Linked DNA regions of Saccharomyces cerevisiae S288C. Each later gene encodes a partner of the first gene's protein in a complex. Each region holds a gene or a part of one and is shown in the gene's direction. Other genes may lie near its edges.

Evidence for each region.
Region 2: the proteins of EPL1 (region 1) and YNG2 are in contact, whole or in part, in a crystal structure (PDB 5J9Q), measured with the Saccharomyces cerevisiae proteins. Residues at the interface, in NP_116629.1 of Saccharomyces cerevisiae: Thr144 (codon at 2,075), Thr145 (codon at 2,078), Ser146 (codon at 2,081), Tyr147 (codon at 2,084), Ile148 (codon at 2,087), Lys149 (codon at 2,090), Phe150 (codon at 2,093), Ser151 (codon at 2,096), Ala152 (codon at 2,099), Asp156 (codon at 2,111), Asp231 (codon at 2,336), Leu234 (codon at 2,345), Gln237 (codon at 2,354), Leu238 (codon at 2,357), Ile242 (codon at 2,369), Phe249 (codon at 2,390), Ile250 (codon at 2,393), Thr251 (codon at 2,396), Gln252 (codon at 2,399), Phe253 (codon at 2,402), Arg318 (codon at 2,597), Arg321 (codon at 2,606), Ile326 (codon at 2,621), Asp327 (codon at 2,624), Ile328 (codon at 2,627), Asn330 (codon at 2,633), Ser331 (codon at 2,636), Arg333 (codon at 2,642), Leu334 (codon at 2,645), Arg335 (codon at 2,648); in NP_011958.1 of Saccharomyces cerevisiae: Asp2 (codon at 1,525), Pro3 (codon at 1,528), Ser4 (codon at 1,531), Leu5 (codon at 1,534), Val6 (codon at 1,537), Leu7 (codon at 1,540), Glu8 (codon at 1,543), Thr10 (codon at 1,549), Ile11 (codon at 1,552), Val14 (codon at 1,561), Asn16 (codon at 1,567), Ser19 (codon at 1,576), Glu20 (codon at 1,579), Phe21 (codon at 1,582), Tyr23 (codon at 1,588), Leu24 (codon at 1,591), Leu25 (codon at 1,594), Glu26 (codon at 1,597), Glu27 (codon at 1,600), Ile28 (codon at 1,603), Lys39 (codon at 1,636), Tyr42 (codon at 1,645), Glu46 (codon at 1,657), His50 (codon at 1,669), Ile53 (codon at 1,678), Arg54 (codon at 1,681), Gly57 (codon at 1,690), Ser58 (codon at 1,693), Ile59 (codon at 1,696), Pro60 (codon at 1,699).
Region 3: the proteins of EPL1 (region 1) and EAF6 are in contact, whole or in part, in a crystal structure (PDB 5J9U), measured with the Saccharomyces cerevisiae proteins. Residues at the interface, in NP_116629.1 of Saccharomyces cerevisiae: Arg333 (codon at 2,642), Ala336 (codon at 2,651), Leu337 (codon at 2,654), Glu340 (codon at 2,663), Leu341 (codon at 2,666), Asn343 (codon at 2,672), Ala344 (codon at 2,675), Asp346 (codon at 2,681), Leu347 (codon at 2,684), Ala348 (codon at 2,687), Leu350 (codon at 2,693), Val351 (codon at 2,696), Lys353 (codon at 2,702), Arg354 (codon at 2,705), Val357 (codon at 2,714), Ser358 (codon at 2,717), Asn360 (codon at 2,723), Trp361 (codon at 2,726), Asp364 (codon at 2,735), Glu365 (codon at 2,738), Lys367 (codon at 2,744), Ile368 (codon at 2,747), Gln371 (codon at 2,756), Arg372 (codon at 2,759), Lys374 (codon at 2,765), Ile375 (codon at 2,768), Leu378 (codon at 2,777), Lys379 (codon at 2,780), Ser381 (codon at 2,786), Leu382 (codon at 2,789); in NP_012615.3 of Saccharomyces cerevisiae: Glu4 (codon at 1,662), Leu5 (codon at 1,665), Ser7 (codon at 1,671), Tyr8 (codon at 1,674), Leu11 (codon at 1,683), Lys12 (codon at 1,686), Glu14 (codon at 1,692), Leu15 (codon at 1,695), Lys16 (codon at 1,698), Ser18 (codon at 1,704), Leu19 (codon at 1,707), Asp21 (codon at 1,713), Arg22 (codon at 1,716), Arg23 (codon at 1,719), Gln25 (codon at 1,725), Glu26 (codon at 1,728), Thr28 (codon at 1,734), Phe29 (codon at 1,737), Asp30 (codon at 1,740), Leu32 (codon at 1,746), Gln33 (codon at 1,749), Glu35 (codon at 1,755), Ile36 (codon at 1,758), Lys39 (codon at 1,767), Glu40 (codon at 1,770), Tyr43 (codon at 1,779), Phe44 (codon at 1,782), Tyr65 (codon at 1,845), Gly67 (codon at 1,851), Asn68 (codon at 1,854).

Annotation. Positions count from the first base shown.
Region 1 is NC_001138.5:87,227-91,990, reverse strand, and holds EPL1 (Epl1p), read left to right. Parts: upstream 1-1,645; coding exon 1,646-4,144; downstream 4,145-4,764. Other genes in the region: BUD27 (prefoldin-like protein), read right to left, coding at 1-1,005; BST1 (Bst1p), read left to right, coding at 4,757-4,764.
Region 2 is NC_001140.6:283,123-286,146, reverse strand, and holds YNG2 (histone acetyltransferase YNG2), read left to right. Parts: upstream 1-1,521; coding exon 1,522-2,370; downstream 2,371-3,024. Other genes in the region: arginine--tRNA ligase MSR1, read left to right, coding at 1-1,308; H/ACA snoRNP pseudouridylase subunit GAR1, read left to right, coding at 2,849-3,024. UniProt on the Saccharomyces cerevisiae protein: Component of the NuA4 histone acetyltransferase complex which is involved in transcriptional activation of selected genes principally by acetylation of nucleosomal histone H4 and H2A. The NuA4 complex is also involved in DNA repair.
Region 3 is NC_001142.9:581,314-583,907, reverse strand, and holds EAF6 (Eaf6p), read left to right. Parts: upstream 1-1,652; coding exon 1,653-1,994; downstream 1,995-2,594. Other genes in the region: YJR084W (uncharacterized protein), read right to left, coding at 1-175; ACF4 (Acf4p), read left to right, coding at 371-1,300; AIM24 (Aim24p), read left to right, coding at 2,292-2,594. UniProt on the Saccharomyces cerevisiae protein: Component of the NuA4 histone acetyltransferase complex which is involved in transcriptional activation of selected genes principally by acetylation of nucleosomal histone H4 and H2A. The NuA4 complex is also involved in DNA repair.

The DNA of each region.
Region 1 (4,764 bases):
TTTGTCTGAATTCTCAGCAAAAGAAGACTTTTTCAAAATAGGTTTTAATGATTTATTAACGTCACCTTCTTCCCTCTCATGATCTTGGGATTGCTTTTGTGCGCGTAGGCGTTGAATTTGTTGTAAAAATGAGGACTGCGCTTCAAAGCCAGGTATAATAGAATGATTTAGATACTCTTCTTCATCTTCGTCCTCGTCATCCTCTTCATAGTTATCATTGACTTTGAAATTGGAGTTTTCGAACGCATCATAATCATAATTTATTTCATCAGTTTCAATATAGCCGTCCTCCAATTCATCTTGTTGGTCCATCTGTTGGACCAAGTCGGCAAATGTATACACGTTTTCTGTATCTACTTTAGATGGCTGCACTTTTTTCTTTACTTCATCGTTCCTTTTCAATAACTTTCCTTTCAAGTTTTCTTCGAATGACTTTGATTTCTTCTCCTTTGCTAATCCTTTCTCCTTTGGACCGACTGCAGGTGTCTGTTCTTTTTTGGAATTCGATTGTGATGGTTGCTTTGTTGTAGGGGTAACGGAACTACTTATGACATTTCCCTCGTCATCTAGTTCTTCTCTAATCTCCATAGAGGGCAGAAAATCTTCGTCGTTGTTCGCTTCGTCTTCTTCAATTCCATTTCCGTCCTCCATGTGATTCAAGTTGTCTAAGGTCTTTTTAGCCTCTTCGATCTTCAGGTTAAATTGCTCAATGGCGTCCTCCATTAGTTTTAATTTATCATCAACAAACGTGATGGCCTCCTCTTTGGTCTTTTCAACGTAATACTCATAGCCTAGACTTAGATATATCTTACTCGTAGAAATTATGATATCACCAAACACCATCCCTTGGCCTTCGCCTTCTTCTTCGCCATCATCATTGTCATTGATAAATCTAACCAGTCGGCTTCTGATATCTATATAGTGCTCTCTTTGTTCCGAAAGAAAGTTTCTCTTATCTTGCAGATTTTTCAACGTACTTTCTACGCTGGCCGCTAACAAATCCATGGCTATTACAGTCTGAGGATACCTGTTTACTATAAAATTCTACAGAATATTCATACAACACTCTCTGTTAAAACCTTTAAGAGCAGCTCATCGCCTATCCTCCAAGGATAAATTTCAAAACACCCAAACATTAGGGTTACCCGTATATCGCTACTTCTTCCCATACTCGCTCACCATAGTTAGCACCCCATACCGCAGGAGTAAGCGAGAAACAAAGGGATAGAGGAAAAAAATTTTCTCCGTCGGCCGCGGGTGGCAAAAGCACGATCCGACCACAAAATTGTACTATTACATATCACATGGTATAGCATACAAGCAATACCTGTGAGAGGTTACTACACAAAAGCAAAAAAGTTTGCAAAAATCAGCCAAAACTGTGCTCGTATTCTGGTGGTCATTAGACACTCGCAATATTATTACACCACATCGCGTTCCTCTGAGCTGCTATAATAAAATAAACGCTATCTATTTTTGACTCCTCTTTTTGCCACCCTCGCCTTCCTTTTGTCCATATTCTCACATTGTACGGCAACTGCGGACTTCAGGTCAACATAAATAAAAATTGCACACGATAGGGTAACATTATAGTCACGTGCTTATAAAAACATTGTAATAACATTAGCAAATAACGATAATAACGATGCCGACACCTTCAAACGCTATAGAGATCAATGACGGTTCGCATAAATCTGGTAGAAGCACTAGGCGGTCTGGATCTAGGAGTGCGCACGATGACGGTCTAGATTCATTCTCAAAAGGCGATTCAGGTGCTGGAGCCAGTGCTGGTAGCAGTAATAGTCGATTTAGACATCGAAAAATATCTGTGAAGCAACATCTTAAGATATATCTGCCTAACGATCTGAAACACCTGGATAAAGATGAATTGCAACAGAGAGAGGTGGTTGAGATCGAAACTGGTGTAGAAAAAAATGAAGAAAAGGAGGTCCATTTGCATCGAATATTACAAATGGGTTCTGGTCATACAAAGCACAAAGACTATATTCCGACCCCGGATGCTTCTATGACTTGGAATGAATATGATAAGTTTTATACGGGCAGTTTCCAGGAGACCACCAGCTACATCAAATTTTCTGCCACTGTGGAGGATTGCTGTGGTACCAACTACAATATGGATGAAAGAGATGAGACCTTTTTAAATGAACAAGTCAACAAAGGTTCATCAGACATTTTAACTGAAGACGAATTTGAAATACTTTGTTCCAGTTTTGAACATGCTATTCACGAGCGTCAACCATTCTTGAGTATGGATCCGGAAAGTATACTTTCTTTTGAAGAATTGAAGCCCACATTAATAAAATCAGATATGGCTGATTTCAATCTAAGAAACCAGCTGAATCATGAAATAAATTCTCATAAAACACATTTTATCACACAATTCGACCCCGTATCTCAAATGAATACGAGACCTTTAATTCAGCTGATAGAGAAGTTCGGCTCTAAAATTTATGATTATTGGAGAGAAAGAAAAATTGAAGTTAACGGGTACGAAATTTTTCCGCAGCTGAAATTTGAAAGGCCGGGTGAAAAAGAAGAGATTGATCCCTACGTCTGTTTCAGAAGAAGAGAAGTGAGACATCCGCGGAAAACAAGACGTATAGATATCTTAAACAGTCAGCGTTTAAGGGCGTTGCATCAAGAATTGAAAAACGCGAAGGACTTGGCCCTGCTTGTTGCTAAACGTGAGAACGTTTCCCTAAATTGGATTAATGATGAATTAAAAATATTCGATCAAAGGGTAAAAATTAAGAATTTGAAAAGATCTTTGAACATTAGTGGAGAAGACGATGACTTGATTAACCACAAGAGAAAACGCCCCACGATTGTTACGGTCGAACAAAGGGAAGCTGAACTAAGGAAAGCTGAACTTAAGAGAGCAGCTGCTGCAGCAGCGGCAGCGAAGGCAAAGAACAATAAAAGGAATAACCAACTTGAAGACAAATCTTCTAGGCTCACCAAGCAGCAACAGCAGCAACTGTTACAGCAACAACAACAACAACAGCAAAATGCCCTTAAGACTGAAAACGGAAAGCAACTCGCGAATGCATCCTCTTCTTCAACATCACAGCCAATTACGTCTCATGTTTATGTCAAACTACCATCTTCCAAAATTCCTGACATTGTATTGGAAGACGTGGATGCTCTATTGAACAGCAAAGAAAAAAATGCAAGAAAGTTCGTTCAGGAAAAGATGGAGAAACGGAAAATTGAAGACGCAGATGTCTTTTTCAACTTAACGGACGATCCCTTTAATCCTGTATTTGACATGTCGTTGCCTAAAAATTTTTCGACTAGTAATGTTCCCTTTGCATCTATCGCGTCATCCAAGTTTCAGATAGATAGATCTTTTTATTCTTCACATTTACCAGAATACTTGAAGGGGATATCTGATGACATCAGAATATATGATTCAAATGGCCGTTCGAGAAACAAAGATAATTACAACTTGGATACCAAAAGAATCAAAAAAACTGAACTGTACGACCCATTCCAAGAAAATTTGGAAATTCATTCGAGAGAGTATCCAATAAAATTCAGGAAGAGAGTTGGTAGATCTAATATTAAGTATGTTGATCGTATGCCAAATTTTACAACATCGTCGACCAAGTCTGCATGTTCTTTAATGGATTTTGTAGATTTCGATTCAATCGAAAAAGAACAATATTCAAGAGAAGGTAGTAACGATACTGACTCGATTAATGTTTACGATTCCAAATACGACGAATTTGTCAGACTTTACGACAAGTGGAAGTATGATTCTCCACAAAATGAATATGGGATCAAGTTTTCAGATGAACCGGCAAGACTTAACCAGATTTCAAATGATACTCAGGTGATTAGATTCGGAACAATGTTGGGTACGAAGTCCTACGAACAATTAAGGGAAGCCACCATAAAGTATCGTAGGGACTATATCACCAGACTGAAACAAAAGCATATACAACATTTACAACAGCAACAACAACAGCAGCAGCAGCAACAGCAGCAAGCACAACAACAAAAGCAGAAATCACAGAACAATAATTCAAATTCTTCGAACTCCCTAAAAAAATTAAATGATTCGTTAATCAATTCAGAAGCGAAACAGAACTCTTCTATAACCCAGAAAAATTCATCATGAGCAGCACAACTTTGTACCTCTCGAACATCTTTCTACGCATTGGCATTTAACAAACCTGACATTCAAAGTTTACTACGAAAGTCGAGGCAACATTACTGAAGATTCAAATCACCGAAATGAACACCGATAACGCAATAATAATGAAAAAAAACAAAAAACAAAAAAAGATAACTACAATAAATTTCAAAAGAAAAATAGCAAGTATCATCCGGCTGTAATATTATCACCTTCACAAGACTACATATTTTTAACGTTTTTTTTAATTTCCATTTCACACGGTTGTGACCTTTTGATTTTTCGCATGATTTCATCCCAAATGCTTGATGTATTTAAGTTAGATTCATACTCTTATATAGACAATTGCATAACTCACTAGGTACCCTCAAATAAATGCATTTCTTCTTATTATCCATTTTTTTTTCCTGTATGGCGCGAATTTTGAAAAAGGTCTAAATATACCAACCAAGTCATAACAAGAAAAAGTAAAAATGAGTCTCAACACATTCCTTGCAGTTCCATCTGATAGTAAATTCACACTCGAAATACTCCCTCTACTTTAAAGCATTGGCCTATATCTTAGGCTTACCATCATACAAAAATCTTCATTTCGTTATGGGTAT
Region 2 (3,024 bases), on another chromosome or scaffold:
TCAAACTTATATGAAGCAATGGGGTGGTCCGTTACACGTATGAACTACCTAGGAGACTGGGGCAGACAGTTTGGTTTGTTAGCAGTCGGTTTTAAGAGATACGGCGATGAAAAGACGTTACAAAAGCAGCCAATTCAGCATTTATTCGACGTCTACGTTAAAATCAACATGGACCTTGCCAAGGAAGAGATAAACGGAAACTCTAAGTGTGGGATTAGCGGTGAGGCCCGTAGTTTTTTCAAAAACTTAGAAAATGGGGATGAGAATGCCATTAAGATATGGAATAGGTTTCGCTCGTTATCCATCCACCACTATATCCAAACTTATTCACGTTTGAACATTAATTTTGATATATTCTCCGGTGAATCACAAGTGTCTAAAGAATCTATGAATGAAGCCTTAGATATATTTCGCAAAAACAATCTTGTTAAAGAAATAGACGGTGCCCTTGTCATCGATTTAACCCAATGGTCGAAAAGATTGGGCAGAGTTGTTGTACAAAAATCAGACGGAACAACTTTGTACTTGACAAGAGATGTAGGGGCAGCCATAGAGCGTAAAAAGAATCTACATTTTGATAAAATGGTGTACGTGATTTCCTCACAGCAAGATTTATACATGTCCCAGTTTTTTATGATATTAAAAAAAATGAATTTTGAATGGGCAAAAGACTTGCAGCATATAAATTTTGGTATGGTGCAGGGCATGTCGACCAGAAAAGGAAATGTGGTATTCTTAGATACCATACTAGACGAGGCAAGGGATAAAGCTCTGCAAATTATGGAAAATAACAAAATGAAAATATCTCAGGTAGATAATCCACAGCGTGTTGCAGATTTAATTGGCGTATCTGCTATCATTATTCAAGATATGAAATCAAAGCGTATCAATAACTATGAATTCAACTGGAACAGAATGTTGTCTTTCGAAGGTGACACAGGGCCCTATTTACAATACACACATTCCAGACTTAGATCTTTAGAAAGGACCTCCAGCGACTTTACGACGGACATGCTAATACACGCAGATTTTTCAAATTTAAATGAACCACAACTAGTTGAGCTTGTGAGGTTGCTAGCGCAGTATCCAGATGTCCTTAGACGAGCATTCGAAACTCAAGAGCCGGCCACGATTGTAACATATTTATTCAAAGTTTGCCATCAGGTCTCCTCGTGCTATAAAAAAATATGGGTTTCCGGAAAACCTGCAGATATTGCCATACCGCGACTCGCCGTATATTCAGCAAGTAGACAAGTGTTACACAATGCAATGTCGCTTTTGGGACTAGTCCCGGTTGATAGAATGTAATTATATGAATAAGCTAGCAAATGCTAGATTAATTTAGATTAAGTTTAACCAATTTATAAACATGTAAATAGAAGAAAGTTTATTGTTACGTACAACGTGATATTTTCCGATTTTCCTTTAATTGATTCTTGAATAACCCACCTACCGTTAGTTGAAATAGAAACAAAGAAGAAGGATATGCAAGTTTATATTGGACAACATAACCAATAGAAGATGGATCCAAGTTTAGTTTTAGAGCAAACGATACAAGATGTGTCCAACCTCCCATCAGAATTTCGTTACCTCTTAGAGGAGATCGGTTCAAATGATTTGAAGCTCATCGAAGAAAAAAAGAAATACGAGCAAAAAGAATCACAAATACACAAATTTATAAGACAGCAAGGCTCAATACCGAAACATCCACAGGAAGATGGGCTTGACAAAGAAATAAAAGAATCACTTTTGAAATGTCAGTCTTTGCAAAGAGAAAAATGCGTTCTGGCGAACACTGCCTTGTTTCTAATTGCTAGACACTTGAATAAGTTGGAAAAAAACATCGCTTTATTGGAGGAAGATGGTGTTCTAGCCCCCGTGGAAGAAGATGGAGACATGGATAGCGCTGCTGAAGCCTCTAGAGAAAGTTCAGTTGTGAGTAACAGTAGCGTGAAAAAGAGAAGAGCTGCATCAAGCTCAGGATCCGTTCCACCCACTTTGAAAAAGAAAAAAACTAGTCGAACATCTAAACTGCAAAATGAAATTGACGTTTCTTCAAGAGAAAAGTCTGTTACTCCAGTGAGCCCAAGCATTGAAAAGAAGATTGCAAGAACAAAAGAATTCAAAAACAGTAGAAATGGTAAAGGCCAAAACGGTTCCCCTGAAAACGAGGAAGAGGACAAAACTTTATACTGCTTCTGTCAAAGAGTTTCGTTTGGAGAAATGGTTGCATGTGATGGACCCAACTGTAAATATGAATGGTTTCATTATGATTGTGTAAATTTAAAAGAACCTCCGAAAGGAACATGGTACTGTCCCGAATGTAAAATTGAGATGGAAAAAAACAAACTGAAAAGAAAACGTAACTGAACAAAAATACCTTTTTGAGACTGAATGACCTCATTTACACTAATAATATTCCATAAGCCAGAAACGGTGATTGCTATTCTGACAATGTGCTTTTCGAAAAGGAGAAGTAATTTCGAGACATCAGCTAGCAAGGACATATACGATTGACATTTTTGAATGTACTTTCAAATACTTGTGAATCAAACTAAGATATGATTCCTGCATATTCAGGTATATACTATATATTTTAATTTCATTAGCATATGTGTCATACGGTTTTTAAAACTTATGAGCAGGAAAAAGGTGTCACGTGATCAGATGGTCTTTTTTTCAAACTTTGACGTCGGAATTTTTTGTAGTGAAAAATTTTTCGAGATGAGGAAAGGAAGAAAAAATTAATTTGTTAGCCTTATAACGTGAGCACCTTTTCGATAGAGTATCTGATTGCTCTCTTCTACCAAAAGATCACCTGAGGATAATTTTTAACCAAAAGAAAATAATGAGTTTCAGAGGAGGTAATAGAGGTGGCCGTGGCGGCTTCCGTGGCGGCTTTCGTGGTGGACGTACAGGCAGTGCTAGATCATTTCAACAAGGACCACCAGACACTGTTCTAGAAATGGGAGCTTTTCTACATCCATGTGAGGGTGATATTGTTTGCCGTTCTATCAACACTAA
Region 3 (2,594 bases), on another chromosome or scaffold:
GATCTACTCCTAATTGGTAAAACCTTTGTAATCGTACACTCTCTTCATCTGTCGCCGTAGGCCTTTGTAGTATATATTTAGTCTTTTTAGGTGTTTTAACGTCATATCTGATGAAGTCTAACAGTTTGTCGTCATAGCGTTTCTCTTCAAAATAACATCCTATATCAACATCCATGATTGGTTGTAGAAACCGTTGCTGGACCTTTCTGTTCCTGTGTAACTCTCTCCAGACATTCCTTTACATACAATTTTCTTTTTTTTTCCTGACCTTTATCGTTAGCTTTTTCAAAATCAAAAACAATACGATTGAGGAATACTACTAACTAGCCAAAAGCAATACAAAATACATCCATACATACGCCCTAAAGTAATGTCAGAAGACCAGCGTGTAATTAGTCAACCAATTGAATTACATAAGCTGTCGATTGTCGATAAACACTCCCAAGGACAGCAGCAACAGCCGCATCAAAAACAACATGAAGTGCAGCCTGAATCAAAATCACCAAGGGTTACGACACCTTTAAAGCCCAAAAGACTTGCTATACCTATATCAAGTCCGCAAAGATCTACGACAAATCAGTCACCCGTGAGCGACCACGCAAGTCCGATTTCAACAGACCAAGATTTAATATATAAATTAGCTGCAAAACACAGAGAAATCAATGAACTTAGTTTCAAATTAGAGGTCGCCCAAAAAGAATTAAAACAATTAGAGTTACAGTTCAAAGATACACTGCCCCGAAATGGACAACAGAAATTAGGTAACCAGAACCCAAGTGAATACCTCTCTACTTTTACCAAAAGAATTCAACAGACATTTGTGGACGTAAATAATTCACCAAATATGCTCAAGGGAAAAAAGAGTATAAACGATTTTTTTAGTAAGCCCAATAATAATGTTAATAGCAACATAAATAACACTCTACCCAATCGTAAACCGAACCCTCCGCCTAATCGGTCACAACGTATGCAAAATATTGCTCCAAGCCGTAGTTCAGAATCAACTCCAACATCGGGTCCTCCCTTGCTACCCCCAAGGAATACTATGAAGAATGCTAATACCACGGCAACTGCTGGGGAGAACACACCATTCTTACAAAGAATACTTAACAAATTCAATCAAATGAATATGGAAGAGGACGAATTCGATGACCTTTTGGAAAAGAGGAAAAGTAAGAAAGATCACTATTACATAAAAGAAAATTTGGGTTACGAATACGATGAAGTACGCAGTGAAGACGAGGATGATGAAGAGTTTGAACCCATGGGTGACATACCCGTTCATTTATTTAAAAGGTAGCTAATGTCCACTATTGATGCTTTCTCAAGAGACCTTCATATGTAATATTCTCATTAAATACAAAGATTAAACGGCTTCATTTATGCATTCCTTTATTTAGGTAAATTTTTTTTGCCCGATTTTTGGTACTACTGCTTTCCTTTTTTAAATGTAATTGATATTTTTAAAAAAACCTCACATGTAGGCGATTAACCCAGGTCCTTCAACAACTTGCCGACTATGCCATTAAATTAATGATTAAAGGTGTGTAAAGCCACAACGAAAGCAAAGAATATACGTAAGATAAACATCTTTAGAGAACAGCCATTTTCCATCATCTTTCCGTTTGTTACCAACCTACGCCTAGAAGAAAATGACTGATGAGCTGAAAAGTTATGAAGCATTGAAAGCGGAACTAAAAAAGTCCCTCCAAGATAGAAGAGAGCAAGAAGATACCTTTGACAACTTACAACAAGAGATATATGATAAAGAGACCGAGTATTTCTCACACAATAGTAATAACAACCATTCAGGTCATGGGGGAGCCCATGGGTCAAAATCACACTATTCTGGTAACATCATAAAAGGGTTTGATACCTTCTCCAAGTCACACCACAGCCATGCAGATTCTGCATTCAATAACAATGATCGTATTTTTTCATTAAGTAGTGCTACGTACGTGAAGCAGCAGCATGGCCAATCACAAAACGACTAATGCGATAGCACACGTTGGTATTTACGTTGCTTGACCGCTCTAAAACATCTGATTGAAAAGAAAAAGAGAGAAGAAGGAAATGATTTCGACAGGTGACCTTTAAGTTCGATATACCTACATATTGGCTATTTCTTTTATTTTTCATTTTCTATAAAATATCTATATAAGTATTTTTATAACGATTTACTAACAAGGGCAAAATTTCAAAGGTCCCGTGCTCCCAGTCATTTTATTGGCTGGCGAATAAACGGATACAGATAAACAAAACAGAAGCACAGAAAAGGATATCCACCCATCATGATAAGCCCAAGGGTGAATACTCGAGTTTGGCAGAGATCAATTTCTCTTTTGAGCCCACAAGCGGCCAAGACGGAGAGTAATGTCGTAACTAAAGAAAGGACATATATCGAGAACTTAAGCAAGGATATTGCGACTTCCCGTTTCAGGCTAGTAGACGAAAATGGTAAAATTGCATCTATCACTGTTCAACCAGATATTCCAATTTGTATCAAAAAGGATTGCCTAGTTTCCATTCACAATTTGAACCATTTATCCCTTTCCTATAAATGGCTGAATTTTTGGTCAAACCTGATTAAATTT